2 linked regions of the Callithrix jacchus genome follow. The main gene of each other region encodes a partner of the protein of the gene in region 2 in a complex. Links are inferred from orthologs where the notes say so. Each region holds a gene or a part of one and is shown on either strand. Other genes may lie near its edges.

What was found. Proteins that work in one complex are often made in the same cells at the same time.
Region 1: the proteins of SMAD7 (region 2) and SMURF1 are in contact, whole or in part, in an NMR structure (PDB 2LTX), measured with the Homo sapiens proteins. The link is inferred for Callithrix jacchus from reciprocal best matches to the Homo sapiens genes SMAD7 and SMURF1. Residues at the interface, in NP_005895.1 of Homo sapiens: Glu203, Glu205, Ser206, Pro207, Pro208, Pro209, Pro210, Tyr211, Ser212, Arg213, Tyr214, Pro215, Asp217; in NP_065162.1 of Homo sapiens: Glu313, Arg315, Ser316, Thr317, Arg321, Tyr323, Val325, Asp326, His327, Arg330, Thr331, Thr332, Phe334, Thr335.

The regions. Positions count from the first base shown.
Region 1 is NC_133503.1:14,565,510-14,569,009, forward strand, and holds part of SMURF1 (E3 ubiquitin-protein ligase SMURF1), read left to right. Parts: intron 1-360; coding exon 361-481; intron 482-1,831; coding exon 1,832-2,033; intron 2,034-3,500. UniProt on the Homo sapiens protein: E3 ubiquitin-protein ligase that acts as a negative regulator of BMP signaling pathway. Mediates ubiquitination and degradation of SMAD1 and SMAD5, 2 receptor-regulated SMADs specific for the BMP pathway.
Region 2 is NC_133514.1:92,053,799-92,057,853, forward strand, and holds the start of SMAD7 (mothers against decapentaplegic homolog 7), read right to left. Parts: upstream 2,801-4,055; 5' UTR 2,464-2,800; coding exon 1,851-2,463; intron 1,456-1,850; exon of another isoform or gene 996-1,455; coding exon of another isoform or gene 917-995; intron 520-916; coding exon 466-519; intron 1-465. Other genes in the region: uncharacterized protein LOC118146891, read right to left, coding at 3,500-4,055. UniProt on the Homo sapiens protein: Antagonist of signaling by TGF-beta (transforming growth factor) type 1 receptor superfamily members; has been shown to inhibit TGF-beta (Transforming growth factor) and activin signaling by associating with their receptors thus preventing SMAD2 access.

The DNA of each region.
Region 1 (3,500 bases), on a different chromosome or scaffold from region 2:
TGCTCATGGGCTGGGTGTGGTGACTCATGCCTGTAATCTCAGCACTTTGGGAGGCCAAGGCAGGCAGATCACCTGAGGTCAGGAGCTCGAGACCAGCCTGGCCAACATGGTGAAACCCCATTTCTACTAAAAATACAAAAATTAGCCAGGCATAATGGCAGATGCCTGTAAGCCCAGCTACTAGGTAGGCTGAGGTAGAAGAACTGCTTAAACCCAGGAGGCAGAGGTTGCAGTGAGCCAGGATTGCACCACTGTACTCCAGCCTGGGCGAAGTGAGACCCTGTCTCAAACCAAAACAAAACCTGCCTATGGAGGAAAATCCACTTGGTGTTGCATCCAACTTGTGAGTTTTTCTTCCAGGTTGTATGTAAACTGGAGGTTTATGAGAGGAATTGAAGCCCAGTTCTTAGCTCTGCAGAAGGGGTTCAATGAACTCATCCCTCAACACTTGCTGAAGCCTTTTGACCAGAAGGAACTGGAGGTACGTGCCTGCTGTGTGGAGTCCACCCAGGGCGCTCAGGGGCTCCCCCTGTGGCTGGCATCGTCTGCCTGTTTTAAATCCTTGATGCAGGGTGTGGCATGCACTGTTTTCTAGAAAGCCCAGGAGCTGTTGGGGTTCCCAGAACAGTCAGCTGGAGCAACAGTGGGGAGTAGAGGGTGTTTACGTCAGTTGGTAACCAGTGAGATGTCTGCATGGTGGTTGGAAATCTGAATAATTCCCGGGACGCTGTTCAAGGTGGTTGTGGCTTCTCTCGTTTTCAGGATCTCTAGCAGGGAGATCACGCGGCCCTCTCCTTTCCTGGGAGAACCTGGTTCTCCCACAACTTACTGCCTTTTATTCGGGCTGTTACTAGACTAAGAACAAGGGGATACTGTCTCTCCAGTCCTACTCACGCGCTTGAACATAGTGACTCATTCATCCCTTACCATCTCTGGTGCGAAACAGCTCAAGCCTTGTAGATTGTTCTCCGAGTCTTTCTACTGCCAGTGAGGAGAGCCTGGGAGCCAAGAGCTTGGATGGGGCAGTAGTTCTGGGGTGAACTTTTGTGTCTTTTTTTTTTTTTTTTTAAAGACAGAGTCTTGCTCTGTTGCCCAGGCTGGAGTGCAGTGGTGCAATCATGGGTCACTGTAGCCTTGACCTCCCAGGCTGAAGCGATCCTACCACTGCAGTCCCCTGAGTAGCTGAGGCTATAGGTGCATGTCACCATGCTTGGCTAATTTTTGTATTTGTTGTAGAGAAAGGGTTTTGCCATGTTGCCCAAGCTGGCCTTGAACTCCTGGGCTCAAGCGATCCACCCAACTTCAGCCCCTACAAAGTGCTGGGAATATAGTGGCGTGAGCCACTGCACCCAGCAGGGGGTACTTTTAAGCAAGTTGCAGAAACGCGTCCCATCTACCCTAGCCCCACGTAACTCTTGCTGAATTCTCCTTTCTTCAGACTTGAAACTCCACATGTCCTTGAGTGTCCTGGAGAGACCCCGGGACATGCTCTTACTCATGGTTAGCTCTGTTCAGTGAACTGGGTGGTTCTTTGAGACTCACTCCTCACCGATGCAGAGCAGAAACCCTGCTTTGGTTATAAGATGATGCCCCATCAGTAGCTGTGCACCGTGGTCTTGGGGTTGGAGGAGGCAGAGGGAGGCATGTCCCACAGGTCTCCTGTTCGTTGCTTTCTTCCTGTCTCAACTACTGTCTAGTTTTTCTTTGGACACAGCCGCTGCTTTGTTTGGGAACCGACTTTTCACTTGTGTGTGTGTTGGGTACCTCGGAGGCGTGTCCTGACGTGGGTTTATACATTTTGGGAGTAACTCATCTTTCGGCACCTCCTCAGCTGATCATAGGCGGCCTGGATAAAATAGACCTGAACGACTGGAAGTCGAACACGCGGCTAAAGCACTGTGTGGCTGACAGCAACATCGTCCGGTGGTTCTGGCAAGCGGTGGAGACGTTTGATGAAGAAAGGAGGGCCAGGCTGTTGCAGTTTGTGACTGGGTCCACGCGAGTCCCGCTCCAAGGCTTCAAGGCTTTGCAAGGTGACTGATGGGGAGGCGGGGCTATTTGATATACGTCTCTGCGGGCTGTGGGCAGGAAGAGTGAAGGTGGCTGGGATGTTTTTCCGAGATGTGTGCTAGAACACAGCATAAGGAGTGTTCTCCAGTAATGAATGCTCTGCGCTGCAGAGGTGGCCACCTGGCAGGGGCCGTGTGTAAGCAAAGACTGCAGAGCCACTCTCGGGCACGGGGGTTCCCCCTCTTCACTGCTTCCAAAAAGCCAAGAGGGTCTGGCCAGCAGGGGTCTTTGAAGTGTTTGGGAGGCCTTGCACTTTCCAACTCTGTGAGCCCAGCTTAGCCAAGACCCTGGATAAGGAGCTGTGGGGGAACCACCCCAGTCTCAGTGGCTCCGAAGCTTGACGCTGCACATGAACCCCTACTTAGCCACAACACACCGAAAGGTGCCGTGATGCTCCCTCTGCGTAAGCCACTCAGGTTGCTGGAAGTGGGGGGCGGAATTCAGTGGCGGAGGTGCCGATCTCCCTGCAGGTCATCTTTTACACTTAACGGCTTGGGGGGGATGCTGCTGGAAGGAGTGAGGTGAAGGGTGTCACCGTACTGAAATTTAGCTGGACTGTAAATGCTGATAGACATACAGACACACTGTGAAGACAGAATATTCCGTCTGAATTGCTGGCTCAAAGGAGGTCATCAGGGCACCTGCCTCTTTTCCATCATGACCTCCGCCTATGGATTTGCTGCCAGGGGCCCAGCATGAATAAAAAGGGGTTGGAGGCTGAGACCCGCTTGTATCTGGGAGCCTCCATCTGCTTGACCAGCTTGACCATGACAGCTGCTCCCAGAGCTTGGAGCCTGTTATTTACAAAGCCTTTTTCCTTCAGTTCTCCCAACAACAACCCGGAGAGCCTGGTTGAGCGGGGATTAGCCCCATTCCATGGAAGAGGAAGCTGTGACTCACTGAGGTCACGGGATTTATTTTCCCTCCAATGGGGAAAAAGAAACATGGAAGGTGTGAGCGGTGTGCCAGGGCAGGAATCCAGGCTTGGTGACCATGCCACCATCGTCTTGCCCGTAGCAGGCCCACGTGCTAAACTTTCCTGCTTAGAGAGAATCTCTGTCATTATAAGGGTCTCATCAGTCCCCTAATCAGGTGGACTTTAGGCCAGTGTCCCTGAAGTGTCTAGAAGGTGGGTCAGAGGTGACCAGGGCTCACCTGACAGGGTCACAGTCCAGTACCAGAGTGCTGGTGCTGAGAGAAGGGAATGACTGGTAGCAGGGCCAGGCAGAGTGGCCAGGGCCCTGCAGGAGGTCTCTGAGGCCCTCACTGGGGCATGTCTGGTCCAGCCTGTCCTGACTCCCCAGGAGATCAGGGTGGGAGGGTGTGGACTGTGAGGGAGAGGAGCTAGCTTCCTGCCCCAGGTTCCCCAGGAACCAGGGGGGTGCATTCCAAGACCCTCTGCCCAACATAAAGATGGGATCTCCACTTGT
Region 2 (4,055 bases):
AGCCTCTACTGAAATGTTCTAGTGTCTACTCCAGACCAAAGTATTCTTTGCACCTTTTAAAAATGTCTTCCCATCCATCTAATCACCCTTTCCAGATGCTCCGGCACTCACGAAGTCTCCAAGCTTTCCCCACCAACCAGTCCTATTTGGTTCCCAAAATACTTCTTTCTGAACTAAAAGCATCCACGTGTTAAAGCCGAGTCCCCCAGCCACAGAGTGCAAATACATGAAAAAGGAACAAAACGTAAAGCATATCAAGAAAAGGTCTTTGCAAAGAAAAAACAAAACAAAAAGCCAGTCACAACAGGAAAATTCACCAAACTTCCAACAGAGGAAACCTAGAACCGACCTGAAGCAAGCCTAGCGCCTTCCTTCCCAGGCCTTTGCCTACACGTAGAAGCCCAGGTTCTACAGGCTCTATTTCTAACTTCGATCCGAAGGGTTTTTTAAAAATCAGCTACTCACCAGTTGGTTTGAGAAAATCCATCGGGTATCTGGAGTAAGGAGGAGGGGGAGACTCTGAAATTAAAAAAGCAAGAGAAAAATAAAGGCCCAGCCATGAGAAAAAGAGATAGAAACTTATGATAACAGAGGCATTCTTTTAGCCCAACTGTTTGTCTTAGCTGTGGGGGTTGGAGGCAGGGCCGCAAGGCGGTGATTGCCTTGATATTTAGCTGTCAGATAAACAAAAGAGGCCGCCTGGCGCCAGCCTCGGCTCTCCGCTCCTCCACGTCTGCGGCCGCCGCCGCCGCGCTCGGCTGGCCCGGCTGGAAACCACCGGCTCAGCCGGGGCCGCGCACTTCACAGTTCACAGGGCGGGGGGCGACCGTGCCCCCTCCTCGTCCGCAGACTCCAGCCCCAGTTCCCAACAACACCGGCTCCCCGCCCCAGCCCGGCCCCCAGGGGTGCAATTCACCTCTGCCCCCGCTGGTCCTCTGGGCACCCGCGCGGGGGACACGGGGGCTCCCCATTCCCAGCGCACTAGGGAGATGCATCCCAAGCGTGCTGGTGAACTTGGGGGATCTGCGGACACCCGGGGTGAACCCTCACAACACACTCCGTGTACAGAAATACAGAGCAAAGGAAGGAACGGACAAAGCAGAGAGGATAAAAGCGAAGGAGTTTCAGGATCTCAGCCGAGAAGTCCAGGCCCCAGCGCAATAAGCGGAGACAACGTCACCGAGGCGCCGGGGGCCGACTATCTATAGACTTCTCTGTGCGGAAGAAAGGAAAAAGTAGGGGACACCCAACTTCTCCTGGCTGTTTGTTCCTCAGCACCCTGGAACTGGCAGAGTTGAAAGGAGATACCCAGTTCGGCCTTCCATCCTAACCCTCTTTGCCCCAAAAGTCCAAGGCTGCACGGCCACAGTAGTATCTGAGCCACTTGTGTTCGAGTGATTCTCCGTATTTACTAAAGGAGCGGAGTCCTTCCAGCCTTTACAGCTCGCTTCTCCCAACCTTCCTTGGCGGGCTTGGACCAAATCCAACTCGGCCACACACCTTAACGCCTTTCCGGGTGCGGGGAGGCGTGACCCCCACCTCCCTCTGCACCCCCTTGTTGATCCGGAAATGAAGGCGTCTAATTTTTAACCGCACGTCTGGTACACTGTGTGCAGGAGCAGTGCCCACAGACCCTTTCGGGGCAACACAGGAGAAAACCTGACAGGGAACCCCCAGGGAATGCCCTTTGAGTTTCCTCGTGTCCCTTCTCTACTTTCCCCACCAAGTCTCCTCCCAGGAGGGGCTGTACACTCCCCCTGAAGGGGTGGCGGCACACGCACTGCCCTAGGGGCTTTTCTTCCAGCACTGGCGCGCTGGAAAATATTGGGGGTGGCCGGGCAACTTCTTACCTAGTTCGCAGAGTCGGCTAAGGTGATGGGGGTTGCAGCACACCAGCTCGGGGTTGATCTTCCCGTAAGATTCACAGCAACACAGCCTCTTGACTTCCGAGGAATGCCTGAGATCCGGCCACCTGAACACTTTGCACAGCAGGAGGGGGAGCGAGTAGGACGAGGGCGGCTGCGCAGGCTGCGCGCTGGCGGGCGCCCCCGGGCCCAGCCTGCAGTCCAGTCGGCCAGGCAGCAGGAGGCACGCGGTGCGCGTCCCGCCGCGGGACTCCACGGCCTGGAGCAGCAACTCCAGCTGCCGCTCCTTCAGTTTCTTGAGCACCGAGTGCGTGAGCGCCTTCAGATCAGCCTCTGCGCCCCCGGCCGCGCCGGCGCCCGCGGCTGGGGGGTGGGGATGGTGGTGACCTTTGGCACCTCGGACCGCCTTGCCCAGGCAGCATCCAGCCCTGCCCGCGCCACCGCCACCAGCCCCATGAGCTCGACTGTCCGTCGCCCCTTCTCCCCGCAGCTCGCCTCCTCCTCCGCCTCCCCCCGCGCCCTCCTCCTCGTCCTCGCCGCCGGGCGCACGGCTCCTCCAGAGACGCCGGACGAGCGCAGATCGTTTGGTCCTGAACATGCGGGGCGAGGAGGCGAGGAGAAAAGTCGTTTGCCGGCTAAGGAGCGAACATGACCTCCGCACACCATGAAGAAGTCGGGCGCCGAGTTGGGGCAGCAGGCGCAGGCGACAGCAGCAGCAGCAGGGGCCCGGGCAGTAGCGGCGGCGGCCCGAGGGGCGCTCCGTGGCATGCGCCAGTCTCCCGGAGGCCGGGGCGCGCGCGGGGGCCCGGGGGCGCCCGCCGGGGATCGGGGGCCTGCGCTCCGGCTGCCCCACCCCGCGCGGCCCGCGCCCTGCGCGGCTCTCGGGCCCCGGCGCGCCCCGGAGGAACCCGGCCGCCGCTTCCCTGGGGACGGCCGAGCCTGCCCCCGTCGGCGCCTCCCCAAAAACAGCCCCCCCCGCAGTGGCTCCCGAATGTCGGACTCGCCAGCCTCGGCTTCCTACATGGAAGATCCGCGGGGGCAAAAAACGAAAGGCGTTCGGCTGGGCTGCTGGAAGAAGGAAAAAGCCTCTTTCCCCCTTGCTAAGCAACTTAATTTGGGGGTGGGGAGAAGCAGGCAATTAAAAAAAAAAAAAAGCAAGCACGCGATTTATTTTTTTCCTCTATATCCTTAGTAACCGGATCTCCTCGAATTTCGTGCACACGAAGGCTGAGGGGAGGGGGCCGAGTGGACTTCACCCCGCATGAGACGTCTGGCGAAATAAGAAGGTTCTCTCAAAACCTAACAACCAAAATATGCAAAGCCCCAAATGAAAAACACCACCTCCTCGAACCTTGGAGGTCTGGGGGCGTCCGGCTGGAGCTGGGGCTTAAAAAAAAAATGTTTACGAAGTATAACAAGATGTTTGGGGGGTGGGAAAACGCATCCACGAGTTACAACCCCCCTTTTTTCCTTGCAGAGCCCCGCTGGTCTTCCTCTCCTTTTCTTCTGCCAAAAACAAAAAAAAAATCGTGTATTTTTTTAATCCACAGAAAGCTTTGACTAGACCGATTCAATCCTGCGCATCTGGGTGGTTTAGGGGAGTCTCTGGTCTTCCCTCCTGCGCGCCTGGGGGCTCAGGTCCTCAGCGGGGACTTCCTCGAGGCTGGCGGGGGCGCAGGGACAGAAGATGCTGCGGCGGCGGCTGAGCCCGGTGGGGCTGACAGCACAGGGGAGGGCGGCGCGGCGGCGGCGGCGGGCCCCAGGCGGGTAGCGCGTTCTTGCCCCCCTGGGCACAAGCTGCTTGCTAATGCGGGGGCCGCCGGTGTCCCTTCCCCTGGCCGCGGTTGGTCGCCGGGGCTCCCCGCGTGGGCTGCTCGCCTCGACCCAGCTGCGGCGGCAGGAGGCCCCGGTGTTCTCTCGGCGCCTCCTCCTCCGAGACTCTCCTCGTCGCGCCCGGGAGCCTCCTTGTCCCCCGTCCGCCCTCTCCTGGCGCTCGGGTCCTTCTGCCGCCGCCAAGGGCTCGCCGCGCCGCACTCAGGGGCTCTGGGGCCCGGCGCTCGGCGGCTCGGCGCCGACGGGCTGGCTCTGTCTCGGGCAGCTCTCTCCCGCGCGGCGAGCGGACCGAGCACGGCGCCCGGCTGGCTCGGCTGGCGCGGCTTGGGGACAGGCTCTTCCGTGCGCCGAGCAGCA